Neodiprion lecontei: one gene and its partners. The protein of the gene in region 3 binds, or shares a complex with, the protein of the main gene of each other region. Links are inferred from orthologs where the notes say so. Each region holds a gene or a part of one and is shown on either strand. Other genes may lie near its edges. The genes, in order: mediator of RNA polymerase II transcription subunit 7, mediator of RNA polymerase II transcription subunit 21, mediator of RNA polymerase II transcription subunit 1 and mediator of RNA polymerase II transcription subunit 9.

Region 1 (8,098 bases), on a different chromosome or scaffold from region 3:
CGGTATAAAATATTTTCTCTTCATGTTCAATTTTCTATCACATTACCTTTTATTGTACTGATCTTTAACGACCGCTGATTCAATTTTTTCACTACTTGCTGATTGAATGTCTGGATGATTCAGTTTTGGTTATATGTAACCAAGTATTTCTTTGGCTGCTGTCATCTCATGATTTATTTTCATTGAGGTTTCAGGTACCAAAACGAAACTGCAAACGAGGGTAAGCTGCGCTGCGAGAGAAGAAAGAGAAATTGCTAAATTTATCTGTTTCAGGTGCCTGCAGCCCGGGTTCCTTTCAGTGGTATCAGAAGCTATAAACTAATGAAATTCATTCTTTCAGGTAAACGAGTCCCAGGAATATAATGTTTAGGTAGTTTGATATGTGTTGTATATGATGGTAGCTGTTGAATAAGGTGAGTCAATAATTGCAATTCTTCATCGCCCTGCTTCCCTATCCCATTATCAAATGAAAAGTTTCATGTTATCTGTAGTTTTGTGAATATATCTTTATTATTATCCTAATAAAAACGATTTTTATTATTCATCAATAACTGTTATTTCACTTTTTTACTTTTTCCATTTACAAGAAAAATTGAGTTGAAAATAAGTGATAGACGATAGTATTACGGAATAAGGTGAAGAACATACTATATTCATATTTTATTATTGACATTTATTTTGATTAATGATACATTAATAGACCATCACTACATCGTGGAGAAACAATAATTATTTCATTTAACTAAGGCAATAAATTAAGCTACAAAACCGTATAGCAAACAATCTTCAAGGGCTAATTGTCAGCATCACCACTTATAACAAAACTAAAATCTAGACATCAAGTGCAGTTTCTATTAATTTTAGTTAAACTTTTATCAGCTAGGTATCAATCTTGCTGGCAGATTATTTAGTAGGGTGTGTATTACGTTCTTAAAAAAGTAGTTTCTTTGAGCTACGACACGTGGCGAAGCGTGCAATATTTTGCTACTAAATAGACCACCTGGACAGCTACTATTGGTAGAAATTTTTGTTATCGTAACATTGACGAATCTTCTCTATTAAATAATCACTGAAATCTTGTCTATTCTATCTTGTAGTTGATATCAGAAATAATGTAGTTGCTCTGGAAATACAAATTTGTCGCTGCTGCTGCTCGAGTCTTAAGTTAACTTCTGTCATGTCCGTATTTGTAGCAAGTTTGCAATTTATCTTCAAGGTATCCGCTAGTATCTTATTCAGTGTAATAAACTGTACTGGAACTTGGCAGCTGAACACTAGTTTTATCAATTTGAGTCAAAGTGTTATTTGCCATGTAAATTAAATTGATCTGAGTTAGTCCAGCGAATACATTATTTGGGAGAGTGTGAATTCTGTTATTGGACAAAAATATTTCTTCAACCAAGACGAGGCCCTCAAATGCAGCGGGCTGAATCTCAGAAATTTCGTTGTGCTCAAGATGTAAGATCTTCAAATCACTCAGGCCTTTAAAAGCACGGGAATGGATGGTTGCAATTTTGTTGTGATTTGCATACAATCTCTTCAACTCCGGCAATCTTCCAAATGTCTCTTGCGGAAGTGACGTTAGGCTGTTATCGTTAACATATAAAGTTTCAAGCTTCGTTAAACCGGTGAAAGTGTTGGGTTTTATTTCTGTTATTTTGTTGTAGTCCAAATGAAGACGGTTTAATTCCTTGAGATTTGCAAAAGACCCTGAAGCAACGGTAGCTATTTTGTTATTATCTAGCCACAAATACAACAGCTGTGGGAGTCCAGTAAACATGTTTGGCTTTATCTCCGGAATATCGTTTTGGTTGAGATAGAGCCACATTACTTTCGATAGTCCGGTAAACGTCCCTGCCGGTATATTGTTGATCTTGTTATAAATCAAGGACAATGACTCTAGCTGAGATAGTTCTTGAAATAGATTAGGAATCAGGGTGACAACATTGTTATCCAAATGGAGGCGGGTCAATTTTGGTAGGCCGGTAAATGCTCCGGACTGTAGAATTGAGATGTGGTTTCCTTGATACAAATATAAATTTGTTATCGTCAGGTCTTTGAAGGCGCCGGGCTTGATTGACAGCAAATTTAAATCACTGATTTCCAATCTGTCTTCGTTCCTCTGCTGTGTAACACTACTTAAAACACCTCGAAAATGACACACAGTAAAGCCATCGTGACTCGTGCATGTCTGCTCTGTTTCAGCTGTTACGAGAGCCACAAGAACGTGGACCAGCAACGCGTAACGTAACATGACTAAACTCTGTACTGTTCATTTGCATAACAGCAGACAATTTATATTGGCTCATCTTTAAGTTATCGTTTGAACTTTGCTACTGTTATCAGACAGTGTGAACTCAGTTGTTGTGGAGTTTATTACCAGGAGAAGTGTATTTTTAACGTAAAATGTACTGGAAATATAAGATAAATCAAACGTGCAATAGATATATTTCAAAGAATTGTGACGCGTTAGGAATTTCGAGAAATGATTATACATGAATGTTCCTTACTTTTAAAAAACAGTTCCAGGTATTTATGAGATGCAGAAAGGTTTTTAACACTTTTTTTTTACAAATCGTTACATAATAAATGTTTCGAAATACTTTGTCCCCATGTCTCGATCAAGTATTTCTTTGAGTATCGTTATCTACTAATTTATATCAACTGATTCATTACATAGCATTATGAAACCGTTCAAGAACGTGGGGCTGTTCGGCTCAAAATTGTTTTGAACTGTCCCGTTTTTCTACACTCAGCTACAGGTTTCCATGTTACGTTTAGCGCTGTGAATCTATGTCATCATTCAGATGAAATCTACCTTGATTAATGATCAATAATTCATCTTATTGTTATGACATCCCTAATAATAGTATTTCTAGGAGATATTTTTTCACAACTTCGTACTGAAATTCATTTTTATTCACTTCTTTGGAGAATACGTAGTTCCATTTTAATCCTTCATTTCTTAATAATGATTACTGGACTATTTCCAAGTCAGTCAAATATACAAATGATAAGTACAGTAAATCGCAGAGCCATGCGCCCGTATTCAGAGTATTTTAATTTTAATCGCTGTCCAGCACAGTAATAAATAATATTTAAAATATTAATTATATTATGTATAAAACGATATGCAGTAATAATCATTGTAGAAACTCACACGCGTCTAGACAAATTCACTAATAATTGTTCCTTATATCTAAGCTCACTATAAACCAGTTTTTCAACAGCGTTGAAGTATAAAAATTATTTCATTCAACCAAGGTAGCAAGATGCAATTCAAGCCAGCATGTTTATTTTTACTTTCGTAATTTTACGTGACGAAAACTAAAAATTCAAGAATTAGAGGTACTGAAAACTCTTTTTAATTGCTGTTAAACAGTGTTTCTGACGCTGTTTTCAATAAATAAAACAGTTTTTATTTTATTGTTGGGATGAATTTTTGCTGATCCAGAATCAGTAAAGATTATTCGATGTGGTCATTTCGTCGATAATATTGCACATCATTCGGTCCCTTGGACAACACGGATCTGTAGCTTGTTGCTCTAGTCCCAAAGTATCCATAACTTCCATCGTATCTGTACTGACAGCAAGGCTTGAATCTAGCTCCGAGGTGTCAGGCAGCATCTGCAATGCATGCTGCAATATTTCCTGCACCTAGAGAGAAAGAATTGAAAGAAATTTTAGTCAGTGATATTAGAAGAAACCAAATGTGATGAAAGATAAACCAATGACACGTATAGCATACTTTGTCTAAATGTTTTTGAAATCGCAGAGTGGTTTCTGTCCGCTGTCTACGCTGGAGCTCCATCATAACACGAAGAGTTTCTCTAGCCTGATGCGGCCTAAACTCATTAAGCAAGTGGTGAATATGGATGAACAAAAGGCTCAAGTCCTCGACCTGAAAATACGTCAGGAAAAACCATGAGATTCTTTATTACCGTCAATAACTCCTGGTGTTAAATGTCTCAAGTATGAAGAAAATCAAGGACACACCTTCTCCGCTCTCCTCGGACTGTCGGGACACTGTACCAGCAGATCTATAAGGTCTAAAAAATTGACCAGAAGAGAGTGATTGAGTTTCTTGAGCTCACGACGCCGGTCAAAATGCTGGGGATAAAGCCTCTTGATCCCCTGCGCTTCCAGCGGCCTTATGATGGTGTCGTCGGCGTTGAACATGTTCCCGAACATGGAATAGTTCTCATGATTAGCCGGGGGAGGACGGGGAGCTCTTCCTCTACGCACGTTCTCATCGGTGTACAAGTTGATGTACTGAGTAGGCGGCATGGGCAGCGAGCTGACCTGCGTCGCTTCCGGAGTCGCCATGGTTTAATAAAATAATATCAACGGCGTAGTCGTAAGATTTTATTCCTGTAAAAGAAAAGAGAAGGAACTGAAACGAGTCAGAGGAATTTAAACGTCAGATGAAAAAAAGATGGGTCATGTTAGGCTAGGTTATAACCACGATATCAGCCTCGGTTTAACACCATCAATCGGAGGGTGAAGATAGGCGAGGTGGATCTACTCACGCCATGAAATACGAGTAAAGCAGTGGAAGGCTCGTCGACGAGGCAGTCACTGTGTTTTCAGCGTCTAACAACGCGAGTCGTCACAGCAGAGGAAAAAACAAAAGCAGCGCGGCGGTTAGTGTTCGCCATTTTGTTTTGTTTACATGCCTGCGTAGCGCCGAACATGGAAGATGCCTGGGAATGTTAAATGTTTACGCTTTTTCAAAGTTCATCCAGTTACCTACACAGCGACGTTATTCGACCGTCGGAAAAGCGTCGCTTGCCTCTCGGTGTCGCGGTTGAAACAACTCGGGATTAAATCGCGCTGCCCGAATGTCGAAGTGTAAAATATTCAGACAAGTGGATAAGTGACCAATACAAAACAGTTGAACATCGATGTGTCTCATGACTAACGCCGTAGCGCATTTCCTGTTATCTCGTGAATTTCCGACCGTCTTGCCTAGCCGTCGCTTCGCCCGCGACCGTTTGACAGGTTACCTCCCCCCTCTCCGTACCGCCCGCCGCTAAGCCTCTCTCTGTGTTCCTTTGCATCCACGTGAATTTTTTTTTTCGCATTATACCCCTAACCGAATCCGGCGGGCAGCCACGTTCTCGAGACCGATGCATCGTCTGGCTGTGTGACAAACCGGTGCTGTGAATGGTAAGAGTACTGTGTTGACTACCGATAGTCTTTATTTTATTGTTACACGGTTTCCCGGCTATTTCGACGTCGGCCGAGGCGATTCCGAGGAACTCGGCACCCAAAACGTCAGTATTTTATAACCGCAAATTCCGTGCGCCTTTCCCTATCGCCTATTTTCGAACTGAGCTTCGGTTTCGTTATCAGTACCGTACCCGGTTTAGCTACGCGATGTTCTCGACGCTTTTATACTTTTACTCTATTCCTATTATCGTTCGTAAACCGACTGCATTGTAAAATAATCGCCTCGATTGTTGTACCTGAGCAATTGATGGAATGCAGTGTTTGTAAACAACGAAAAATGAGCCATGCATCGACCATCTCGAAACGGTTTCCTGTTCACAATTTACACACATATTCGATATCAGTTTTACTCCTCTCTTTTATCTGATGGCGTGCCAACAGTTGGTCTCTGTTCATCTTTTCCCTACTTCCCTGTCATCAGCTGTTCAAATTTGTTGAATCCACCATCCGTCAAACACACATTCTTCTTTCAATCAGCTCTCATCCGCCATTCTATTCTCTTCTATTCAACTTCTCGCTATCTTCTTTGTCTTCATATTTTCTCTTCTTCTTTCTTACGCTGTGAACCGAACTACCGAAACTTGTACTCTGCGAATCGGATTTTCTCTTTGTTTCTCCCTTTCTCGACAAGAAGCTCCAACTTTTCTTACTTTCAGATCAACAGATATGTCTAGTAATATTTGAAACACACTGTAGCTATCGCTGGACTGTGATAAATGTCGCAATACTATTTAAATTTTCTTTATAACGCCCAGAATAAGCTTGAAAGAAAAAGAAGTAATATAACGATTACAAAATATCGTCCACTTTCTCAAAAATACATTTCATTAATTTGATGTTTTGCATTTTACAGGGTTTTCTTTTCAGGGATGACGGGGAAGGATGGGAAGGCGGAGGCTAAAGGCGTGGATGGTGTTGTTAAGACAGGATTTATGACAAAGCGCTCTCAAAACAAGAAACGATTTACGCCGATCAACTACAAGCAGCGATGGTTCGTCCTCACCAGGCAATACCTTATATACTATGACAGCGACAGCGAGGTAAGCGAGACGAATCACTTGTTGACACATTTCTTTGATAGATTTCGAGTCGACAGGTCACGCCTGAAATTTCATTACACGACGCGTATTTACATGGCAATTGCTCAGCTGTTGAACAAAATATTATTATTTCTGATCTTCATTCTGTGATCGAATTTGACCAGGTTTCCATTCGCAGGTGCTTGTTATATCTAAGAAATGATTGTTTTTTTTGGAAACTTTTCAAATGAGTATAAACGTATTCTGGAATTGCGGATATCCAGAGATTGCAAAAGTAATCTGCGACCCGGATCAAAAATGAAAATTCGCCGACATATAAGCGTCAGATTATTCATATCCAACTTTGTTGCTGTTGTTATTTTTTTTTTTGGTTATTACAAACCACTCTTTTTTTTCACAACAAGTTTACTAATGGTAGAGACGAATTTCATTCGTACATACATAGGACCTTGTAAAAAAAAGTGTAAATCGTGTAAATTATTCGCAAGGAATTAACAAAGACAATAATAATAATAACGGTGTACAGTAACGAGAAAAATCGATAAATAATAATTTGAAGTTGATCGAACATTTTGAAGTAAAATTACCGTCAAATTCCATGGTATAGAAATTTTGAAATTACACGCATAAGCGATAAAAGCATATTCTTACGCAGGCAACGATGAGTATAACAGCTTGCTACTGTAATCTTTATGCAAACAGGAAATGTGCGGTTCATTAGCGAAGATTACGAACGGAAAAAGAGAGAAAATGTCAGACATCGACTGACATTCATTGACCAAGGCACGAGTTCCACTCGTGTCGGAAATCCTTCATCCGAATCACCGAATGCGAAATCCTAATCAATCGTATAATCGACATTTTTATTTACCCTCCTAAGATCATCGAATTGAGAATAAAGATTTTTTAGTAATGTGCAAGTATTTTAGAGAAGTACGCGATCTCGTGTTAAAGCCTTAAAATCGACTGTTGCGTTTTTTAATAACGTTGACTGAAGATGTGATGCGATAATTCATTGTCTTAAGGGATGCTATTCTCTTGTTGAACTGTATACAGGATGCATCGACGATAGAAAGGATACAGAATTTTCAAAGATGGGAATATCCGATTCGTACGAGAATTATGAAAATGTAGAAAGTGGACGTACAGAAAGAGAAAATATAGAAATGTCAAAACATAGAACAGCTAAATCTAATGTCTGTGTACGATTATACATTTTGGCATTCTATATTCTCTACATTTTTTCACATCTCCATACAGGGACTTTGTACATTTTTAAATCGTGTAAATTAAATTTTCTCCTAGTTTGAAATTCTATATTGTGGCCCTTCCGTGTTTTGATCTTTCTGTTTTCTTATCCCCCGCCAAACTCGTGACAATATTTACGCATCTGTAATTCGTATTAGCTATACAGCTGTATATATCGAAGCGTGCCGCGTAAAAGTGCAAGGCGGTCGCGATATCACGTGTACCTAATAATAATTAGGGGTGCAAAAGGGGCGCAGGCGCCTCCCGCAGAGGGTCGTCGAATACGTCGGCGCCGATCTCCCGATGCCCCTTGGTAAGGCGGTTATTTCCTAGCGGAGAATCAGTCGGTTGTCAGCTACAATTCGATGCGAAACCTCTTCTCTCGCCGCATATTGAACCCTGCGTTGCGTAATCGGAACAAAATTTGAAACACAGCGCGGGCCGGTTTTCCGTGTATCGTCTTCGGAAACGTGCGTCGTGACGAGCCGCGTTTCGCGGTTTTCCTTTAATTTCTCATTTGTTGATTCATTTTTTTTTCTTTCATCTCTATCGTCCTCGTGAATTAACGCATGTGCGAG
Region 2 (7,267 bases), on a different chromosome or scaffold from region 3:
ACATAAACAATGAACCGATATTGAAAGATTCTGAGAAAATTGATATGTTCAGTGAAATACCTACGACAGATTCGGAAGAGGAAAGCCTGGAAATAAGGAGGATACGGTATGTTGTTAAAAATGAAATACTAACAGATTAATGAAATCAATGTGCAATACTAAATTTGCAGTATTTAAGTTATAGTTATTTTTTTCTAATCGAGCTACAGAAGTTATTTCAATGTTTTTTGGCCAAACGGATAGCCCTGTCTTTTGATCAATTCATTGTGTTCATCACCATGATGCATTCTTTTTTTTTTTTTAATAGATTCCAAGCAGAGACAGATTTGCGTCTGAATGGTCAGCACAGTCCAAGTTCTCCTGGCTCTCAGGCATCTCAAGTTTACATGGAGCACTCGTATTCACTTCCGCCAGCACCACCACAACCTTCCATATCCGATTCCCGAGTTTCCAGTCTACCTGTACCTGTTAAACCGAAACTTACGAAGCCACCAAAATTGGAGAAACTGAAAGAGAAGTCTGATAAGACTGCTAAAAAGAAATATCCCAAATATTCCAAACTCCATACACACCAAAACCATGAAAAAGAGAAAGAAAACATCGAAAATGAGTTCGCGTATGAACCGTTACCACGAAAGTTCGAGGAACCACTTAAAACGTACAAGGAACGGGATCTAATGAGCGAAATGGGAGTGCTTTATGAATTTCTAACAAAAGGAATAGATGCAGAAGATGTTGAATATTTGAGGAGAAGCTACGAAGCTTTGCTGGCAGATGACAACCAAGGATACTGGCTGAATGACACCCATTGGGTTGACCATCCTGCAACGGATATTCCAAGTCCTGCTAAAAGGAAAAAACGAGACGAGTTACGATTACATTCTACAGGAAGCGCTCGGACAGAAGGCTACTACAAAGTTGATATACGCGAAAAAGCCAAACACAAAGTAAGTTTGTGTTACTATATTTCTTGCAGAGAAAGTTATGTTATCTTTGTTTTATTTTCTCATTTTTAGCATCACTATGCTCAAAGCATACAGCGCAGTAATGACATAGAGGATAGTACTGGACCATATTTGGGTGGTGACGGCACAATGAATGGCCCAAAAACAAAGGCTAAGGCATTAACTGGAAAAATGCAGGCCTTATCACGGGAGGCGAGAAGTAATCAGCGGCGGTTATTAACAGCTTTTGGCATTGACACTGACAGTGATTTACTGAAGTTCAATCAGCTCAAGGTAATATTGATTGGAGTATCATTACATCTGTCAATCAGATTATCATGTATTTTATGTGGAACATTGTGACTCAGTTTTGAATGGCTTTCTTATTACTTAGTTCCGAAAGAAGCAACTGAAATTCGCCAAATCCGGTATTCACGATTGGGGTCTTTTCGCAATGGAACCAATCGCTGCTGATGAAATGGTGATAGAATATGTTGGACAGATGGTGAGACCAGTGGTCGCAGATCTACGTGAAACTCAGTACGAGGCTACAGGCATTGGTAGCTCTTATCTGTTTCGTATTGATCTTGACACTATTATCGATGCGACGAAATGTGGTAACTTGGCAAGATTCATTAATCACAGCTGCAACGTGAGTTCAATTTGTTACTTGAACTATACCTAATTTTTAAGTGTATTCGCTTGAATAGTTGACACTTTATGGATGATTAAGTCTTTAAGACTTTGGAATTCAATTTGCTTTTCTACTATCTTCAGTTCTAAATTATTGCAAAGCAATATAATGGTAAATGATTTGTTACAGCCGAATTGTTATGCTAAAGTAATAACAATTGAAAGCCAGAAGAAGATTGTGATCTACAGCAAGCAACCAATTGGTGTGAACGAAGAAATTACTTATGATTATAAGTTTCCGTTGGAGGATGATAAAATTCCGTGTCTGTGTGGCGCACCCCAATGTCGGGGTACGCTCAATTAATTTCTTGTCACCTTACTGTTCATCCCCCTTCAATCAACCACACCCTTCTCATATTTTTGTAAATAAAGTCCCATGTAAACATTTTATAAAAAGCCAATGGAAAATGGTATGTTTTATTCGAAATTTATTTCTTGTTGCCGAACATTTTGATCATGAAACTCTAGTAAATTATCTAACCATTTTTACCTGAATGAATTTACAGAACTTTATGAACATGTATCTATATTTTTCTTTTCCAATCTTGTGACATTAGTCACCAAGATTTTTTTAGTTAGCGATCTGTTTAATGATACTGCTTCTCTTGAGAGATTTCTCTCTTAAAAGATATGTCTAGAATGAATAAGCTCTGCTTAGGCATTTAGAAAAATGTTTATTTGATAATGGCTAAAGTTTCTTAAATGTAAATCGGACAAAATTCATATCACTGGCTCATAGAGTTCGGCGATGGATCTGGTGGTTGATGTGAATTACTTGAAGGAATTGTATTGATAGTACCAAAGTTTTCCTGTTTAAAATTAATATGAGGATTTAAATTTGTATTGATAATTGTGGGAGCAGCAGGATTTTGCATGTCCAGCTGACTCTGCGCAATGTCTTGGAGGGCTGCTTGAATTCTTTGAAGCAAAGCTTCACCCTGTCTGACAGTTTCTTCTAGCTGTTCCGCAGCATCTTGATTTTCTTGTTCAAGTCTGCTCAGACTAGCTACTTGAAGTTCCTGAGAAGAATCTTCACTCGGAAGGCTTTCTATCAATGTATCAATATCTTTGGCGCATCGGGCGATCAGCGTAGCAAATAGAGTCGCATATTCTAAAAAAGTCAAACCAAAATATGCTTTGTGAACTGAATGATCACAAACAATGATTACTGAAACTCACCTTCCTGTGTCTGATGAGGTTGTGGCGTTCCAATTCTATCAAATCCCGGAAATTTAGTAGGCATAGAATATTGTTGCAAGATCCCAACACTGTTGCAGAAGTGTTCAGCTTGCTGTAAGGATAATAATATCGAATTATCGTGATGAGTTTGCCGGCTAATTGATTTTACGGCAAGCTTACTTGATTTATGGTGTCTTGCAATTGGGTTAGACGATCCGCCATTTTTGCGATGCACCTAATATCAACAACGGACTTTTCCAAACGCAATGGTATTGCCAGAGAGGAAGTACACAAGTTTAATAATCAACCAGATGTAGCAGATGCATATTTTGTTTTTTGAAGTAAATTTACGTACATTATCACATCATATCTCGTTACTCTTGACTTTTGACTATATCAGCTCGTGTTGCGCTGCTGTCACTATCACCATTCTCACGACAATCTGTACGACGCATATATCGATATTATAAGTCACATACTTACCGACGCAGCACCACACTGCCACCATGATCCTGACAGTTTCGTTTTTCGCCTTCCCGCCAGTGCCCAGTGAGAACGCGTTTTCAACGGGTGTCAGATTTGGTTTATTGTTAGAGTTTGGCAGAGAGAGCCTTATGAAACATAATTAAAACAGTAAAACGCATGTACACTGCTTACTACATTTTCGTATTCACTTCTCGTTGGCGTTGATCTAGACTAGGTTTTCACGAGCAGGAAAATACCACGAAGCAATCACAGCATTTTGCTGCCGACTTCTTGACCAATAGGAATGCTAATAAAGCAGTGACGGATCACGTGTACGCGTTGAATACGAATCTTCTATTATCGGCATGCCTCATATGGCGCGATCATGGGTACGATCAAATGTTCAATTTACAACTTGTTTACAGTTTATTAATTGAAATTCTTACTTTATAACCTATAATCGAGTTTCCTGTATATCGAGATATTGATTAGCGTCTTTCAAAAATGAAAATGAGACCACAAGCCCAAATACCAGTTCTTTTGATTTATCGTCGAAGTTTTGCGTGAACATGTAAAACAAAAAATTCCCCATCGTCTTTGACACACTTTGCACTGTAGGAAATAATATATATAGGATAACGAAGCTATCTTTCGAATACATTACAATGTCAATCGTATTAAATGTACATTGTAATATTCAATGGAATACTTCTTAAAATTCTACGTTAAATGTGTGAATACAAGTATATTGAAGCTTTGCAACCGCGTAAGTATAGTAATGCTCGATATGCACGGTATTCAATCGGTGTGAACTCTCCGAGGCGTCGTTGCGTAATGTCCCTTTGACACCCGCTCTCTAGACCCACCGCATTCGATTCGTCACCCGTTTAATCTCAATGTTTATGTCTGGCTCTCGAAATATTATCGGCTTCCCTGCCTCACCGCCGTGGTCCATTGACTTGACGTTGACTTCAGCACGTACACATGTCGATCATATGCGTGCTAACACACGTACGACATTTCGGAACGGATGTATGAAAAATGATATCTGGTGTTCGATTCTCAAAACCAATGATCTCATTCTACTTCTTGTTTTTCTTTTTTTGTTTGTGTATAAAGAAGATTTAAGAAGGTTGAAATCCAAAAAACGCCGACCTTATCTGGATAAAAAAATCTCCATAATCTGGAGCTGATACCGGTGAAGCAATTCGATATACGTATATCCTATTTTTTTATTTCATAACGTCCGTTCCAAAATTAGATATATTCCGCGCGCCTAAACCCAACTCGTTTTACAACGTACCGAAATGTCGTAAAAATATCTAAAAATTTCCAGAAGCATGATTTACACGTTAATATTGTTCTGAATATCGGACACTCCTCAATAACGGACAATATTTCTAGTCCTGAAATTTCACCGTAGAGAAAAACCTCGTTTATCCGAGGTAACGTGGGGAGGAGGTATCTCGGATAAGCGAAAACTGGCATAACACGGAAGAAATGAAAAATGTGAAGATTTGAATGATTTTTTACGAATTTGATATGGTAGAATGAAATTTAAACACAAAGGTACATGAAAGTGAAACTCTAAGGAACGTAGATCAATCTCTGGGGAACAAAGCATTGTTGCTACATATAAGCAACAAAGTAGCAATCGCAAAATACTTCGCACGTACGGCATATGCGTACTGTATTCGATCACACACCTCGATGTTACAGTGTTCGAATAAGTCCGTTGCCTCATATTGTGAAACTTGGTTGATCGAAGGTCGGACAAACCAGGTTTCATTGTACACCATGAATTTCCTCGTAGTCGTTGGCGGAAAAATGATAAATATTCAGTACGATACAGTTCTGAAGGTTCAGTTGCTGTTCCGACGTGAAGGAAACATGAGTGAGAGAAATTTGACTATTTTTATTTGGATTTTTTGGATAATTCTTCGTTTGTGCGTCGATGTAGAATGCGGCAACGAAACCGGACAAAATAACGTATTATTTACATTTTAATTTATAAATTCTATTTACTAAGTTTATATCCAATAGTTGTGTCACAAGATGACAATTTTCAGATGCAGTATAGTTCTCTAGTATTTCTACTTTTCAGTAATTTATCATGATATCGGGTATATAAATTATGGTCAAATCAATTTCATACTGCATCTAATAGGTTGTCAGGGATGTGAAATATTTTTCCGTAATTCGTTTTTGCCAACAGCTGTAACGACCAAATTTATAAATATTTCTGTACAGACGTGATTACTTGTTTTAGACTTGGCGAGAGTGGAACTTCAGTCCACCACATCGTAAGTGTGTGAATCTTAAAATTGACAATCAATTCAGTTTGGCAAAGCCGAGCCTAAATAATCAGTGTGACTATGAATCCAAGACATCTCAGCCACCTAGTTGGCTTCAACACCAACGGTCCACACTATTCCAAGATTTTCCTGATTTTACTGGTAAGACATTTTTTTTAGTAGATAATTGCCACTCGTATTGGCGAATATACGAATTATATCTTGATTAATGATTCACTATTGACATGTTTCATCTCATATAGTGATAAAATTTGTTATTTTTATATTTGTCTTAAGGAATTGATTGGAAGGTATCAAAGCCACGAGAAAATTTCAAACTTACTCTACTAGCGAAACCACATGTGAAGAATAAAAAGGAATGTCCTTGTGATCCTAGAAAAGATTTTAATCTGTTGCAAAATATGCCTAACAAAAAGGACTCATCATTGTCTATAAAAGTGGGTAATTTAGGTTGAGTAGCTGTATATGTAACAGTCGATATTAATTTAAACGCTCATTGTAGACAACAAGTCATTAGTACAAGATCTTAGGTTCTTTGGTTTGTATTTTGTTTTTCTTTCAACATATCTTTCTATTTCAGAAAGGTGTGCCTGCTAATGGTACATTTATCGATATATTTACTGGCTGTTATTATTTTGTCATGACAAATAGAGAAGAAAAAAGTTGGTTGTGGGGTCCATATTTTTACAATACCACGTATCCTGTCCGTGATCCAACCGTGAGATGCCAGTTTGAAAATGTTTCAAATGCGGTTATTGAAACGTGAGCTTCAATTTATCTGTTCAACACCTAACTTTTCAGGTACATGACGTCTTAGTGTTAGAGGGACGGTAAATTTATTTCTTGTGCTGTTTTTTGCGTGGAATTCGTTGGAGATAAAGAGAAAATGATTGAAACAAAAAAAAAAAATTTAACCCTTTTCGAATTTTTTTTTCCGCAACCAAATTGGAGTATCGTCAAATCTTATGAAAATAGATCTTTAGAGTACTATTCAAGCTGAAAAGGATTTTCTTTTTTCGAAAAACATGCTTCAAAAATGGTAAAAATTGTTTTTCTGAGTCTTGTATTTTTTACCAAATGTAAATCTGTGTTCTTTAAACTTCTGCAGATGGATTTTACAATACTCAAATTTGGCAGAAAAAAAAATTCCAAAGCGATTAATATTTTTTTTTATAATTCTCATTTTATCACAATCGTATTCTTTGCAAAAAAATCGATTTATCGCTCCCATAACACTAAGGCGTGCGTATTTGAAAAGATGGGTGTCCTCTCCTCTTAATGTGCCTAGTTGGTTGAATTATTGACTGTTATTTCTTGTGGATAAATTCACTGCGAAAATTACGTACTGACTTGAAAAAACTTTCGGCATTGTAATTTTACAAAGTCTAACATAATCAGCGGCAAGTGATATTAACTTCTCAATATGGGACGAATACTACACCTATTCGGTGTACCTATTGCATCGATCTATGTTACGTTTAGTATTCATCTTAAGTATTCATTGACACAAATTTGAAACAGGAATTCTTCTTGTGATTAAAAATTATTTCTGGCATACTTCTAGTTTTACACAATACACCCTTCATTTTCGATTCTTGTTTCTGATTGCACTGAAGAATCTATGAATTTGGAAAAGCCACTCTAATAATGTTATTTTCAGGAGTCGAATAT
Region 3 (8,994 bases):
GTTTAAAGGCTCTTTCGCTCTCGCTCTCTTCCCGCAACGCAGATGGGCTTGAAGTTTTTCTAATGTCTGAACCTTTAGAACCAAATATATTCTTCTCCCCAGATTTTGGTGGCCTTGGTTTGTCCCTGTTGCGACTCAGATCCGTTGCACCTGAGCTATTCATTTTGGGGGAACCAGACGACTTTGCTGAAACACCCTTTGCTAGTAAACCACCCGATCCTGAGTTAGATCCAGAAGCGGATTTTTGAACAGAAGGCACTTTTTGACTGGCAAGATTTGCTTTATTGCCGCTGTTCCCAGATCCTGAACTGCCCGGCAATTTCAGGGGGACTTGTTGCTGTGGTTTCTTAGACGCAGGGCCTGAATTCACTCCTGGTTTAAGACCAGTGTGAGTCTTTGGTGACCCGTTGCCGGAGCTGGATGAAGATCCTGATGAAGATTTTAGATTAGGACTAGACTTAGAGTCTTTTGTTCCTTTTTTATTGATCGTGATTTTCATTTCAGAACTATGTTTTACCATGTATTCAGCTGGATTTTTAGTATCCACAGGTGTCTTGCTACCGCTTTTACCCTCACCAACTTTATTAGAACTAACTCGGTCCTTTTGACTACCCTTAGACCCGCCGTTACCATCTTCTGTACAATGTTGGGCATTCTTAAGTTTGTCAATAACAGCACTAAGTGAGCCTTTTCTATTCCTTGCTTGTTGTTGAGCAGTAGCTGATTTTCCAATATCCGAACCACCTGACGGAGGCGTGCTGCCTCCACTGCTCGGCAGAGACGGAGGAGTCTCAGCGTTTGGATTTAAATCCAATTGTTTTAACTTTGCGCTAGATGATTTCAATTTTGGACTCTGGTGTCCGGACCCGCTAAAAGTCAGAGAGGATGTTTTCCTCTCTTTATCTCTATTCGAATCTTTATTAGAAGACTTTGCTTTTGGCATACCGTCGCTATTCTTGCTTGATGGTGAATTAGCTGCAGATTTTAAAGCTGACATGCTGGGTTTTCCGGCACTGGCTGAGCTCCCGTGTTTTGGCGATGAAGTACCATGTTTTGGGCTGACACTCGCCGGTATCGTCGTATGTTTAGGGCTATTGTAAACAGGTGAATGTTTGGGACTTTGTATTGGTTTGTTAACAGGTTGCTTTAGGGTAGGGCTCGACTTTCCAACAAGAGCTAACGGACTAGTATGCGTAGGAGACGGACTAAATTTTCTGAGCGTAGCTGCAGGTGACGAAGGTCTTGTTGTCAGATTTGGAGGAGATTCGGTAGGTTTAATACTCACCGAAACAGGTTTTGACAGAGGATCTGGCTTCAACGGTAGCTTGTCCGGAGGTCCCATAGGACTGTCTTCTCTCTTCCGTTTTCTCTTCTTCTCTAGTTTATTTTTATCCTCTGTCTTATTTTTTGAACTCTTCCTGTCCCTACGCTCATCTGTCAAGTTTTTTGAAGCCGGACCGGCAATTGGTGTGATGGTGATCGAGCTAGGAAGGCTAGTTTGCGGAGACGAAGCTATAGGTATAATCTCAATGCCGGGTCGCCTTTCTAGCCCCATTCCTGTCAATACAGAATTATAATTTGATGATTGTGCAATTCCGCTGCTGGAAATAGGCGTTATACTAACTGACGGTGGAACCAAATTTTTATTGTCCTCAAATAAATTAGGGCTCTTCTTGTCTTCGCGTTTCTTAGACTTTCTCTCTCGCTTCAATAGTTCCTCAACATCTTGCAAGTCGTGAACTTCAACGATTTCACTTTCATTCTCCATGTCGTAATCTGAGCTTTTATCAGTTCCTAAAATATCAGCATGGTCTAGATTACACAAATCAAGACCACTTGCAAGACTAGCAGCCGAAGTTGGTGTCGGAGTTCTAAGCTCGTTTGGATTATCTCTACTAGTAGGTGTGCCTAAAGGTGTCGAATCAGAACTAGAACTTTCCAAGAGGATTTCACTCATCTCCTCACCTTTCCTCTTCGGACTTCTCCATAACCCGTCAGCTGTTTTTCTTTTTCTCGCTTTCTTAGAAGGTCGCTCTACTAACGGATTAATCAAACCTGCAGAGTTTTTAGCTTGACCAAGAAGCGCCCCAAGTTGCAGAGGATTCAACATAGCAGTGGTTGTATCGGAATGGCCGGAAAAAGACGGAAAACCGATACTATTCTCCGTTCCGGCTTCTAAAAAAGACTGCTGCGACGATTGTTGCCTACCGATACCTCCGCTACCGTTCAATCCCGGTTCCTGTTTGATCTTTACATCTCCACTGGTGAAATCTGGCATACCTGTACCATTGTGTCCATTCTGGTCTCTGCCAGGACCAAGATTAACATTATAATTACCGCCATTGCTATTCATTGCGTTAGAATTAGCAGGATTCCTACCCTCCCAAGTCTTTATCAACGTTCTCATTGTTACGGGGATGCTAAGGCATTTCTGCAACACTTTACCAGCCAGTTCTGACGAAGACTCACTGTTGCTCATGCTAACTCCGTATAATTTACATTTCAAGTTTGATATGTCCGACAGATCGAGTTCTGCTGTCGCCATTGTTTCTTCAAAGGGGTGCTCAAGGCTGACCGAAAGATGTTGCCAAGACAAAGCACTGACCTCAAACATCACCGTGTGTTCAGGGTCTTGCCGTGCCATGGGTCTAACGCAGCTTGCAAGTAACGAATTGAAAAGTGCCTGCTGCCTGAGGTACACCAGGATCTGGGGAACGTGGGCAGGATGCGTAAACGGGATGCTGCTGACCAGCACCCCTTCCATATTCCGGTTTTCTGTCATGAAGTAGCAATGCTGCTGATCCGGCAATGTCTGTTAATAAAATACTGGATGAACACGGCATAACATGTAAAATGGATAATATTCACGAGTAATGACGAGTTTCGCGAAAGTTTTACGATTTCACAAAAAATCTATTCGACTACGGGTAATTTGGAACTTACCACAAAAAGGCCTTTGTTATTATGACAATCCAGTCGACCGTCGCTTGCGTGTTGTACTACCAGACTTAATAATGGATGTGGGGATGAAATATCACCACATTCTAGTTCCGTGACTTTTTGTATTCTGTGAACTAATTCCAGGCACAGTGGCATCTTTTTCGCCAATTTCAAAGTGAAACAAGCAGGTAACATTGAAGAGTTTGCTCCAGTTAATATAGCGTATGAAGGGGTGCTACAGAATGAGGAAGAAAATCAAGTGTTAAGTTAAATTCAACGCACGTGGAAAATTTGTTGAACTAGGTATTAGCCGAGACAGTGATGTAATCGCTATTGGCATGAAAACTATATCTCTAAAATAGTCTAACCTTTTTCCAGACGGTGTTCGATTAATAGTAATGATATTGGAGGTCGGTAGCTTATGAGCTGTTGAACCTTCCATACACACTGTGACAGAATGGCCAATTTTTCGGGAGACAATAGCTTCAGAGCTGAGGATTTCATAGTTCCGATTTCCCTGGTCAATTAGGTCGTATGGTGAAACAAAATAAATTAGTTTCATCGCGTGGCCTCCTTTTCTCTTCTCCAAAATTCCTGAATTAACAAACAGGTTATTTAATCTAGTATAAGAATTGGTAAATAATAAAATAAATACTAACCAACTGGGCTTTTGTGTACAATATTGAAATGTTCCTTCATAAAGGTTTGCAAATGGGCTATGGTACCCAAGTCTGCTTCGAGGGACTGCAAAGCACTGAAAGCTTTGCATTTGACCTTTTTTTCAGCATTCAGCTGATAGATAGAGGCCAATCCTTCCAGTTGAGCCGTAAAGTCAACAAAATCTCCTCGGGACAAACAGGTGACCAACTCTTTGCAACTCTGTCAAATTATATTTCTTTTTATTACTCTTGTTAGCGTTAGATCTAGTTCAGATAACTCTTTTCCATTAAGATGTGTCATAAAATTTTTAATTACTCAAACAAATTCGTACCTGCTGCTCGTTTTTCCCTTCATGATGAATTTTGACATCTTTGACAGCACCAGTTGATTCCAAAAGAACTTCTAGATAAAACATATCCGATGATATAAACAGTTGTGTACCAGAAGTCCCCAACATGAATTTAAGTCTGCAATAAAACATTCAAGATACGATGAGTATAAAATGTCTGAATAGCTGCACATTGGGTACATTTCGCACGGGTTAAACATATCTGAAGGTATGATATGAAAGATTTGGAGAACCACTTACCCTAACTGCCTTGTCAGACTTTCTAGTCGTTCTACCATGGACTGCAAAGACGTGACCTTTATGGAATGTTGCAAAGTATCGAGGCATTTTTGCAGTTGATTTTTTTCAACACTGTCAAGGGCGAATCGTTTATCCTATAAATATGTTAGACATATTTAAATTAATCTTTAGAGACTAAGGCTCCTTCTTAAACAGTTAATATCGAGCTCAATTAAACCTACCAGCATGGCCATCCGCAGATTCTTAGCAATTTCGACAAAGGATTTAAAAGAAGCAGCCTTTGAACGAAGCTTCTCCATCAGCAGCTCCATTTGCCATTCTTTTCCCTTGTCCACCGCCGGGCTGCCAACAGCCCCGGGGGCTGCTGGAAAATTCAATTTATTTTCAGCAAGATTTCCATTTGAATTAAAGAGGCGCGTGTGATAAAACCAGCACAATTGATAGACAATGACAATAATGATGCCGGCATAAATTTATACGACTGGTTGTGTAACAAGGGTCTATCTCATAGCAACGCATAACTGATAAATAAACGCGTCAGTGAAAATTATGCACAACTCTTGGCAGATAAACACAGCGTCAGCTGGGGTTTTTGCTAAACGAGCACGTTTTATGTTGGTTGAAAATGAGTGGATAGGATCACGCGAATTTGTTATTGTTTGAACGTGTGCGTGAAATAGCGTAGCAATCAGCGTAATCAACGAATTTTGTGTCCCCCACCAAAGCGCACGCATGTACTATCTCGGTCAGCATAGGATCAGCCGTCGATCGTAAAACATAGATATGATGGAAATACTTACGAAGGCCCTTCTGATTGTTCCCCGCATCCATGTATCCTTTTCCGGATAACACGGATGCCATAATACGCTTTAAACACCGTTTCTCTATCCACGCGAGGTCAACACATTTTACATTCCAACGGCAGCATCTTGCTCGTTTGCTGCTTCACTCCACTTAGCTCAGCAGACCTCGCTTTCCTAACCTTTGCGCCCCCTTAGCAGTACACCTTTGCGCATCGCGCGTCGATCTTTATCGAATCAGCTGATTGGTCGACATAGCCATCTGCGACAATCGACCCCTCGCGTGATCTTTAAGGGGGTCCCTTGGTCGATTTCGACGTGCATAAATATGTGTAAAGAAATGGCACAGGTGTTAAACTCGAGTAACAGAGAAACACTCAAATAAGTTTTCATTTGACGGAGAAATAAATAAATGGCACTGTAAATTCGTAAAATTCATATCCTTTTTTGCGTTTGAGACACGTGGACTTCAATATTTAGAGATACATGCATCAACGAAACCTTATCATCGAATAAATATTGTTGAAACTGGAAGATTACCGTCGGTAATTGTTGAAAGAGCTCCTGAACGTGCTTTCGGATATCTAACTATACATGATTTGGACAAAATCCAACTACCCGACTTCCCTTCTCCGTTGATCGGCAATCATAGCCATTCTACAACCATTTGCAGTCACTGCCACGGAGACTGTGCAAGGAGCACGAACTCCATGTATACAAATCGTTTCCCAAAATAAGAAGCAATTAATATACGATAAGTACCATAACGGTGAGCGAGGTAGATGAATCACATTGCAAGATCGTCGATTAGTCAATCTTGGGCATCTCTACAACTAATGACATTTCGGTGCTACAGGAACACTAGTGACGCTAGTGGTACAAAACATGAAGCTAACGTTTACGATTAGTGTGACAAGTTTGGTCAATTCACCCATTTGAGTTCATGCTCCTTGTACAATCTCCATAGTCACTGCAGTCACTGACGCTGTGGTTGCGACAAAACGCCATTATCTGTGTGATCGGAATTAGATGTAACGTTATTTGTGTCTTTTGACAAGTTATTGTGGATAGTTTACGACTAAATAATAACCTTTGAACATTGATACCGCAATGTACACCAGGAGCAGAAATAGTCAGGGAAATTACCCAAATGGTAAATCAATTTATGTTAATTCATTTTTACCGAATCTGAGCGGCATACTACAAAATGGATGACGCTAAATTTTCCTTTTTGAGTAAATGCCGGGGCTCGAGACGACGCTCATACTTCTCTATCGAATTAGTCACTCAAATACAAACTCGGAGTATAGAGCCGATTGTATAATAGTTACGACTTAAAACAGAACCGACAACAATAGCCTTTGATTTATTGTACATACCATCCAGTACCTATGTGGTTATTGATTTTTATTCGTTTGTAATTACTTGCTGCAAAGCAATCAATTATTCGAAAGAGAAAAGTAACCCTGAATAATGCTAGGAACTTTTCAAATTCCAGTAAGGGGACAGTCGGGAAACATAAATTCTGGACCAGGATACCAGAATTCAACGGTAATCATTTTTCCATACTGATAATCCAAACCAATGAAAATAATTTTTACTTCACTATTTGTAAATTTTATGTGATTAAAACGCTCATCAAATTGCGTGAAGTATCATTTGGACAAGTACGTTTTATAACTCATGGACCACAAATTGAACAATTGAATAGACAAAGTTTGTATTATATATGTACATACAATATTCTAAATTTTTTAACATCGCAGATCTTTTCTCTTGAAAATTCAATTATTATTGTTAGTATTCATCATCACTTAGTATTACATACACAGAGTTGTGCATTTCTCAAGTCTTCAACTAATTTCTAATAAAATAAACCATCAATCACATTATGATTTATTAGCAAAGATCTAAAATGCGTAAATGTCAAGGTATTTCGACCAATATTTATTATACCTTGAGAACATTAGTATAGATGTATGATAAATTATGCACTTTAAAGTATCGTAGATTCAATGCAATATTATTTATTATTTGACAATGTAAAGTTCAAAATTTCACGGTGTAGGCTTGTTTTTTTTCCTTATCTACTTCTCTTTTATTTGGTTTGTTTTAAGTTTGTACAGGAACACAGGTTGAAAGACTGATTGGACAAGCTGTAATTGAATACTTGGAATATTTGAAATCTTTTGCAAAAATCTTGGAAAGTATTTTTTTCTAGAATCATATTCCACTACCTGCAACTTCAGTATGGAATTACCTACGCGTTTGTTACCTACCCATGCTAATAATGAGGTTGTAGAATTTTCATAGAGTGAAGAAACAGATCTCATTTTAAAGCCAAAACTAAATTGGTAGTAAGAATTGCATAGATATACGTATACCTGTTATTCAATCTCTTTGGTATTGTAAATGCTTGCTATATCTACTTCTTTGCATCATAGTCATCAATTTTTAGCAATTTAATGCCACTCTTGGTGGCAAAAGACACTATTTCGAAACAGTTTGATGAGATCTTTGGACCTCAATTTAATCAATTTATAAACTGTGCTATTTATTCTTCAGCTTTTTTAATCATTTCTAACAGAAGTTTAGGAATTGAATTTTTCATTTTAGTTCTAAACTTTTTAGTACATGATTGAACTGAAATTTTTTCTGGCCACCATTGATCACGGTTCCAAATCAAATAGTTTTTTTTTTTTTCTTAATTCTCTGAAAGTTATCTTATTGCCAGCCCTGATTTAATTAAATATAAATAATCATCACTGCAAAACTTACGAAGTCGATTCAGGATGTTTGACGATCAAAGAAGTAGGCTAGTATTTTAATATTATCCCTGTGTTCCAGTTTCCAATTATGATAAAAGTGCAGAAGTCCGCCTTTATTTGCATGTACTAATTAGTGGTTCCCATCTTCCCCTCTCCTGCAAAGCAGGCCCTAGTAGCTATACAACAATACCGAGGAGGTGCGCCCCGCCAGGGGCAGGCTCGCCAGTTGCCCTCATAGCATAATGCATCCTGAGCCAGTTCCTTAATGATTCGTTCTAAACTCATGTTCTGAACACCTTGGCGATACACGATTTTCTTGCATCTGTTCTATTCCATTGGGTGATACTGCCGACAAGAGCTAAAATCATAAGCACAGAATGAGGACATGGTTTTACATTGTACTAGATTTGAGTTTACTGTCACATATTTTACAAACTACTTGTTTATCTGATATTATGAAATTCTTCATTCTTAGTTGGGCAAGAACAAATGTTATTTTTAATTGTGTAAAGATTGTCAGAGATGATTTATTTCATAAGAAGGTGCAAAAATTTGTGTATCTCTTGATGAATTAGATTGATGTTGTTTTCCAATAGCTGGTCATGGTTTAGTTATGAATTGAGAAACGTCTAGCACTGTTGAAAGGAATATCGGCAGGTGTAAGCTATAGGGGTAGCGTCAGATTGCGTTTGAATACGTGTGCGACGTCGGGCCCTGGTGGGGTAGCACAACCGCAGAGGTTCCTTGTGTAGTGGCGAGACCCACCCTATGATTTACAGTATTCGCAACAAGGGAATTTTCAACCGTCTCAAATGTCGGGACAGAATCAGCAGGGACCTTACAAGAATAATCCAGTGCAAAACTCGCCGCAGTTTAAAGCTGCAAATCCAGTACATCAACAACAACAACAGCAGCAACAACAGCAGCAGCAACAGTCGGCCAGAACAACGCAGGGCTCTCAGCCTCCAAAGGCACAGCCAATTACTCAGACACCACCTCAGCAGCAGCAGCAGCAGCAGCCTACCACTCCGCAAACTCCGCGTCTGAAGCCAATCCTCAAGCAACCGTCATCTACTCCACCAGCAGTTACTAGTGCTCCTGTTGCCGCTAGCAGTGTACCTGCTGCACCAACGCCAGTAGCTCAGCCAACAACGCCACCAACTGCTAATAATAATGAGACTAAGACTGAGGATACGAAAGAGAGTATGGATGTCGACAGTCCGGAACAACCGAAATG
Region 4 (7,324 bases), on a different chromosome or scaffold from region 3:
ATTTTTAATTGCCGAATTTCAGGAAAGTATGTTTGTGTTTTCCAGACATGTTACGCAAACAGTTGAGGTGAGAGTAAAATCTGTATATATATTTTTTGACATTTCCAGACATTGGCTGAATTACGTCGAAAGTATATCCGTGAATAATATGTATTGATTTCACATCTCCTTTACTGCTATAGCATCATTAGATATGGGGTGAAAACAGCTGTTTTTGGTATCAATGCAGGCTTCAATTACTTTTTTCTGTTCACTGTAAGTTACTTCTTTTGCGCTTGTCCTGACTGTATAATTTAAAGATGAAACTGTGTTTCTATATGTATATTACACATGTAAGGGCTATGAGTTTAATACTTTGTAATTCATTGTACTATTTTTCAAATGATTGAATAGGTGGTCGAGAATGCTTGTTAGACAGATGATTTTCTTTGACTGATTATGATGTTAATATTAATATTACTATATAGATAGTAGAAATTTTAGAAGATAAGATTGATCTATGGGTTGGATTTCTAATGTTGATTCTTTGTGAAAGTATTCAATATTCATATAAAGTATTAACAATAATCACGTGTGCTACATTAGGTTTCATCTGCCCAATTTGTTACAACGGATAAAACTCTAAGAATACTGTAAACGTACGTACTGTATTATGCAACTTATAATTTCGATACTTTATCGAACTAACAAGATAATTTTCAAAGAAGTTGATTTTCATGTTCAGTAAAACTGGACTGATCTTAATACTCGTAATTCTGGTGTTTTTCTTGTTGTAATATCAAATAAATGCCATATAATACAATCTGAAATTGGAAATAACTTCTCTTTTTACATCGTAGTTCACTGGTGACTTATATTTCCTATATTTTGTGGCAGAATAATCCTTGCTGGATTTAAAAGAAGAATTTTTTTTCACAGCTGGTTAATTTCTGCAAGAGGCTTTAGTAAAGTTTGATAAAAATATACAAATATGATGCAAATTCACTTTTATATGAGTAAAATTACATTGGATAATCCAAACGGATTATAAATGTTGTAATCTAGTCTAAAAACAATTAAATTTGAAACATTTTCCACAAACTACAAAGTCTGCTCACAATTGGCTGTAGATACTATCAACGCAATATAAAAAGTTAATTTACTTGGTAAGCCGATTGATGCCAAATGATATTGAAGAATTCACAAGTATGCTTATTATTTTGTAGGTTTCTCTAAAAATTTGACTTACAAATTTGTATGTATTTTTGTGGGTACACGTTTGTCGCTGCCTCTGCCGTATATAAACGTTGGATGCATATAGGTAAAGTGCAAGAAAATTAAGAATAACAAGTGATTTATGAATAATGTAGAACAAACTAAAAGTCGAGCAGCAGGTTTGGGTATACTAGTTATAAGAAGGATACATACTCTAAGAGCACTCAGTCCTCCAAATGAAAGTAAACATAGGAAAAAGAAGGCGTTACTTTCTTCTTGATATATCATAAGGCTCAGAATTAATGTTATGAGATGAGAATACAAGGCATAGCCCAACAACCCAACTAAATCCCAGAATACCATACTTGCGCGTGCCAATTTACATAGCACAAAACCTAGACAGGGATTCACAACAATATATAGCAGTACTGAAGTTACAGGAGCCATAGTTAAATCTGTAGCCGACGGCTCTTTAATCCTATATCCGTAATTTAGAATTGCAATTAAAATTAAGACTGCTAGGAGGGGTCCTACTAGATCTATATTTTCAATTCTAAATTTCTTGTTACAAGGAGGTCCGAGGGAAGCTATAATCCGTCTTCCAATATCGTAGGGTGTAACTTTCATATAACGATTGACAAACGAAACATGGCCATCAACTTTAACGCAATATTGTTTGGAATCTGTAGGCACCAATATAACGGCTGATCCTTTGTACGCCATGGTAAACCAATGGGAAATATTAAGCTATTAAATCTAATTCACAATTCAGAAAAAAAAAAAACTGATTCATCGAAGTCTTTGAGATGGATAACTAATCGCAGGAGAGTAATTTGGTTACGTTAGAATATATGTTATTTAGATTGTTTCTTTTCCTGATCCTTCTTAGCGTCTGCAATTCCTTCTTTGAGATTAGATGAGAAACGCGATAATAAACTTGCCCATTGCTTGCCAAGCTCCTGTGGACTGGATGGTATACCGTGCTGGGAAGAACGTTGCATAAAATAAACAACCAGCTGAGCAGCTCGTCTTATAGGTTTTGAATCTGCTAATTTGTTGATGAGCTGTTCGTTGTTGGCCAAGTATCGCATAAGAAAACGCAGAACCATAATGAATTATAGTATGAAAGTCTAATTATTTATACTTTGGGTACGTCGAATGTACACATATTACGATACTTGAGTAGTAGTTCTCGCTTCAACTTGAGCTGCCTGCGAAGTGTTTCTAGCTTCTGTAATTGCTCCTCTTTGCTATATTCTATCCCAGGCAATTTTTTTATCTAAAAGCAATGGGTTTCAGTTTATTAAATTACAGAGAACGAATATTTAGTCATGCTAAGCATGATTATCGTCGAGTATACACACCTGTGATCGTGCAGAGTCCAATTTTTTTTGTAAATCTAGTATTTTGTGACTCGTATCCTGAGAGTCCTTAGCTTTTTGGGTGTTGTCATGAGGATCTTTTTCCACGCTATGTGGAACAAATCAAAATTTTGTTGCATTACATAACTAGTTTGATGAGACAAATTAGCTGTACATTTAATAAGGTAAATTCTTGTTCATACGTAATCCTGTAAAACTCCAACGTCACGATCTAATGTTCGCAGAGCAAGTGAATAAAATTAGAATATCAATTTGAGAAATTGAGCAATCATGTACCTTGTGTTAATAATTTTGATACGCAATCATATGAGCTATAAATAATTTGACAAACGTGGCAGACAATGGGGAGTGCTTTCGCAACTTTCTATCTATAATAACTTGAAAAAATGGAGTACTATTTTTGGCATGTCAATTTCAAAGGGTATTGCTAGTGTTAACAAGAAAATAAATTAAACCCACATACCTTCGGATTATTTCGTAAACAAGCGGTAGAATTTCTATGTCTAGATCGTCGACTGTGAACTGACTTCGAGCAGGCGCTTCCTCTGCTATCTCAACAACTTCCATCATATTTTCACCGCAATTTTTTTCGGCATCTTCTGCTTTTTCGACACTAATTTTTTCTTCTTTCGTAGACAGTTTAAATGAATTTATCTACACACGTTCTTTATCACGCGAACTGGTCGTTCAAAGCATTTAGCACACCACGAAGGTTTGACAAAATTTTACGGTACTGTCAGAAACAGAAGCCGGAAAAATCAAGTTTTGTAGATGGAGCGATGGCAAGGAGCTTAACATCTAGCTTGTAAAGTTAGACATAGAATGGACGTAATCGTTAGTATAGTCTATGGTGTTGCACCGCGAATGCCGGAAGTAGCTCCTGGACATTTGACCAGAAAATTGATTTCCGTCACTTTCATTTGGGCTATCAAGGGTAGTAGGTATGTATCGCGAATGCTGTTTTATATCTCTGATAATCCGAGGAATCCTACACAACGGCAATTAATTAGTCTTACTGAACGAAATTAGGTTAATTTACCAATTGTTAAGAGTGATAGTTTTTTCGATAAATAATTGTGGTGTTTATATTTTCAGTCCAAAATGGGACGCCGGCCAGCGAGGTGGTAAGTCGTCATGACTCGCATTTTCTAATTTAGGAAAAAAAGAAATAATCGAAAAGAGAAATAATTGTGGTACCTTTATTCCTGACCAACGATTGCTTTAATTGACTCGAGCTACGAATTAATCCGAGGCTCTAACAAAATTCCCTTTTTTGTGTCAACGCAGGTGTATGCCAAGCTTCGAAGTGCACTGTTCTGTATTTAACCCATTACTGCCGCTTCATTTACTCACTTATTTTGAAGTTCTCTGTAATTGTCGCGAAAATTTTGCTAATTAGAATTGCAGTTCCAGACCATTAGTCAACTGTAGAGAATTTTGTGGAACTGAAAGTTCGACATGATGGTAACGTAACCTCGTTAACACTGGTGTCTAACCTGTTTCGCAATATGTATCATTTAATTTATAATTTATACAATCAGATGTCATTGTTGCAATACGCTTTGAGATAAAGGTTTGGGAATCTAAGTGCTGTGTAAATATGTTATAAATCAAATACTGATGAGAATTTTTGTTTAATTACAGTTATCGCTACTGCAAGAACAAACCATATCCTAAGTCTCGTTTCTGTCGGGGTGTCCCTGACCCAAAGATTCGTATCTTTGACTTGGGAAAGAAGAAGGCATGTGTCGAAGACTTTCCACTCTGCGTTCATTTGGTTTCTGACGAATATGAACAGCTTAGCTCAGAAGCTCTAGAAGCAGGTCGTATTTGCTGCAACAAATACATGGTCAAAAATGCTGGCAAAGATCAGTTCCACATTAGGATGCGACTCCACCCTTTCCACGTCATTCGCATCAACAAAATGTTGTCATGCGCTGGAGCTGATAGGTAAATTACGTGAACAATAGTAACTCATTTATCCAACAACGGAATATTATCTACTTAGATGGAAAATTAATGCTACAAATTTGTTCAACTATCTAGGCTCCAAACTGGGATGAGAGGAGCCTTTGGTAAGCCTCAAGGTACTGTTGCTCGTGTCCGAATCGGGCAGCCGATCATGAGTGTGCGCTCATCGGACCGTCACAAGGCGGTAGTTATCGAGGCTCTACGGCGTGCCAAGTTCAAGTTCCCTGGTCGTCAAAAGATCTACGTTTCTAAGAAGTGGGGATTTACCAAGTACGAACGTGCCGAATACGAAGATCTGAAGGTAGCTGGTCGTCTTGCCCAAGATGGTTGCAATGTCAAATATCTTCCAGAGCACGGACCCCTAGACGCGTGGAAGAAGTTCAGAGAAAGCCTGGCCAGTGCCTAATCTGAGCCAAACACTTCTGTAAATGTGGTCTCAATAAATTTTATTCCGACTAATTAAAATTGTGCGTCTTTTACTATTATACCTCGTTATGTTGCAGGAAGATGCATGCTATAAGTTCAGTATCAATTCCAGATCTTTTTTTGCCAATTTACCATTTCCATGGTGAATATTACAAAGTTCGCTTTTATAATAGATCCATTGTTACAGGTATGAGTATTCTACAGATGTAGCAGATGATCATCTGTTCGGAGTTCATAATAAAATAGGTATAATGTGAAAAGGATGGTGCTGTGATTTTAAGAATTTATTTTACAAATGATTAGAACGCCATATCCTACGTAACTCATTACAAATCAGTAACGTCATAGAAAATAAAAGTTGAGTGAGATTACGCGTCCATAAAGTTGTCAATTGTAAATTATGTACAGGAATATATTTAACAAAAAATATCCAAAAATTGGAAATATAGTTCACTAAAATACTTTGTTAGTAAAATGATTAGAAAGTACCTAATTACCTAATTAAAATTTGAAAAATACAATATTAAGGGAATGTATGGCCCAATTTTATAACACAACTGTTCAAGCTGCCCTAGGCTACCTGCATTTAACTTTGAAAGTTAAAAGAATACATCTGACAGATAAATTGCACTTTGAAACTTTTTTGCCAACGAAAGATGTAGGTATCATTATTGTTCGACTGTTTAACGAGTTTGTGGTAACAAGTTTTAAACTTAGTGTAAATTTTTCTCATTAGTACGATCCACGTTCTTCACACTTCCGTTTTCTACTTGCAATTCGTCATCGATATCCAAATCATCTATAGGCTCTATGTTATGCATCGGATGAAGACTGGTATCCAATGCTTCTGTACTTGTAACTGCGTCCAATAAAGGAGATAGTTTCTCTGCTTCACTATCATCATCTTGTCCCTGAAAACGTTGACGAAATTATTTGAGAAATGAATCTCTCAGTTTGTTAGCAGCAAAACAACTACTTTACCTCATCGATAGCAGTTGATTGCTTCTCATTAACGAGTCTTAATGTGTCTCTTGTACGAAGGGCCGTTTTGTCACGTGGACGACTAATTACTTTGGCTCGTGCAACTGGAGAACGACTGCGAAGATCTTTTTGAGAACCAGAAATTTCATCCCTTGCAAGTAGAACAGACATTCGGAACTCGGGTGTTGCACAAGGCATACCACTAGTTCTTGGTGACTTCTCCGTATCTTTTGGAGATGCATGTTTCGAAACTGGCGTACGCTCAGCTGATCTAAAAAAAGTTCTTGTTTCTACCATCCTACTATGATCTACAATCTATACAATTTAACCCTTTAAGATTACACCTTTGATTCATGGATATACAAGTTTGAGCTTGGAACCCCATCCTATTCTTCGTTCTCATACAAGTTTGATAAGTTTTACGCGTCAGTCACCAAGAAAAAGTGATAAATTACCATTAGATTATCGTTTTCTTATCAAGTAACCTAATATTAGGGTTAGTTTTAAGAAAATATTTTCTTTTTGTACACGTGCATTATTGTTGTAATGAACATTATTTTAAGATGCAGTTAAAGGGTTAAATGTGTTAGACATGGAATGTTCATGATTTTAGAGATGCGTGGAGTTTTGTTAGAGGCATGTGAGGGTGAAAGCAGTAAAGGACGGTTATTTGAATTTCAATAATGGCTAGAAAATAGTATATTAAAATCTTCATCATTTTACTGACATACCGATTTAAAATTTCAGCAGCTTGAATAGCACTGGCTGTGTCTGTGTCAGGAGTATCCAGGGACTCAATTGGTAGGACCGTTGCTCTTGGTGTATAAGGGCCATTCAAAGCTTCTATGAGCGATACTGCCTCATAGCCAGGTGGTATATTTTCACAACTACCCTGGAAAGTAGTTTAAGAATCGAATTTATTTGCTGGTTTACGAAGAGAAGTGAATTAGTCAGAACTGGCTTCCATCATACAGACTAATGACAGCTTGAGTTATAAAACAGAATGAATACTAATAATCAATACCTCAGCCAGTGGCGGATTGGACAGTATTGCCCCAGTCGCTTTCTGCAAAGCTTTAATTTGCAACAAAGCCCTGAAAGGTGCTCGACATATAGGACAATTATTTGCCTGATACCGTAATGAGTCCGCACACCCATTACACAGGCACAAGTGCCTACAAGGTAGAATCAATGTATCACGTACGTCACACATGCATATAACGCATTCAGATCCACTATCTTCAGTATCTTCATCGCTTCCTTGTTGCTACAAAGAGAAATAAATTAATTGAAAAAAGTGAATTTTTCAACATGCAACTTTATGGTTCCTGTTTTGTGTAATTGAAATATCATCTTGACTGTTTCTGCGA

Evidence for each region.
Region 1: mediator of RNA polymerase II transcription subunit 1 (region 3) and mediator of RNA polymerase II transcription subunit 7 share a complex: the UniProt entries of both Drosophila melanogaster proteins name them as parts of the mediator complex. The link is inferred for Neodiprion lecontei from reciprocal best matches to the Drosophila melanogaster genes MED1 and MED7.
Region 2: mediator of RNA polymerase II transcription subunit 1 (region 3) and mediator of RNA polymerase II transcription subunit 21 share a complex: the UniProt entries of both Drosophila melanogaster proteins name them as parts of the mediator complex. The link is inferred for Neodiprion lecontei from reciprocal best matches to the Drosophila melanogaster genes MED1 and MED21.
Region 4: mediator of RNA polymerase II transcription subunit 1 (region 3) and mediator of RNA polymerase II transcription subunit 9 share a complex: the UniProt entries of both Drosophila melanogaster proteins name them as parts of the mediator complex. The link is inferred for Neodiprion lecontei from reciprocal best matches to the Drosophila melanogaster genes MED1 and MED9.

The regions. Positions count from the first base shown.
Region 1 is NC_060265.1:6,394,248-6,402,345, forward strand, and holds mediator of RNA polymerase II transcription subunit 7, read right to left. Parts: upstream 4,887-8,098; 5' UTR 4,488-4,886; intron 4,372-4,487; 5' UTR 4,327-4,371; coding exon 3,997-4,326; intron 3,902-3,996; coding exon 3,749-3,901; intron 3,658-3,748; coding exon 3,457-3,657; 3' UTR 2,898-3,456; downstream 1-2,897. Other genes in the region: leucine-rich repeat-containing protein 15, read right to left, coding at 1,232-2,254; tyrosine-protein kinase Btk29A, read left to right, coding at 6,102-6,272. UniProt on the Drosophila melanogaster protein: Component of the Mediator complex, a coactivator involved in the regulated transcription of nearly all RNA polymerase II-dependent genes.
Region 2 is NC_060262.1:34,977,229-34,984,495, reverse strand, and holds mediator of RNA polymerase II transcription subunit 21, read right to left. Parts: upstream 3,261-7,267; 5' UTR 3,172-3,260; intron 3,069-3,171; 5' UTR 3,039-3,068; coding exon 2,997-3,038; intron 2,929-2,996; coding exon 2,817-2,928; intron 2,749-2,816; coding exon 2,363-2,748; 3' UTR 2,292-2,362; downstream 1-2,291. Other genes in the region: histone-lysine N-methyltransferase SETD1, read left to right, coding at 1-106, 308-947, 1,017-1,238, 1,339-1,596, 1,768-1,941; uncharacterized protein LOC107218980, read left to right, coding at 4,992-5,270, 5,551-5,737, 5,873-6,033, 6,177-6,358, 7,257-7,267. UniProt on the Drosophila melanogaster protein: Component of the Mediator complex, a coactivator involved in the regulated transcription of nearly all RNA polymerase II-dependent genes.
Region 3 is NC_060263.1:3,100,717-3,109,710, forward strand, and holds the start of mediator of RNA polymerase II transcription subunit 1, read right to left. Parts: upstream 5,205-8,994; 5' UTR 5,051-5,204; coding exon 4,990-5,050; intron 4,554-4,989; coding exon 4,411-4,553; intron 4,324-4,410; coding exon 4,190-4,323; intron 4,068-4,189; coding exon 3,932-4,067; intron 3,820-3,931; coding exon 3,600-3,819; intron 3,535-3,599; coding exon 3,309-3,534; intron 3,176-3,308; coding exon 2,944-3,175; intron 2,813-2,943; coding exon 1-2,812. Other genes in the region: mediator of RNA polymerase II transcription subunit 15, read left to right, coding at 6,100-6,142, 6,488-6,540, 8,537-8,994. UniProt on the Drosophila melanogaster protein: Component of the Mediator complex, a coactivator involved in the regulated transcription of nearly all RNA polymerase II-dependent genes.
Region 4 is NC_060264.1:6,103,261-6,110,584, forward strand, and holds mediator of RNA polymerase II transcription subunit 9, read right to left. Parts: upstream 3,341-7,324; 5' UTR 3,147-3,340; coding exon 3,040-3,146; intron 2,665-3,039; coding exon 2,559-2,664; intron 2,474-2,558; coding exon 2,333-2,473; 3' UTR 2,186-2,332; downstream 1-2,185. Other genes in the region: protein YIPF3-like, read right to left, coding at 1,225-1,917; 60S ribosomal protein L10, read left to right, coding at 3,678-3,700, 4,221-4,526, 4,623-4,953; probable E3 ubiquitin-protein ligase MGRN1, read right to left, coding at 5,687-5,884, 5,955-6,225, 6,686-6,846, 6,979-7,221. UniProt on the Drosophila melanogaster protein: Component of the Mediator complex, a coactivator involved in the regulated transcription of nearly all RNA polymerase II-dependent genes.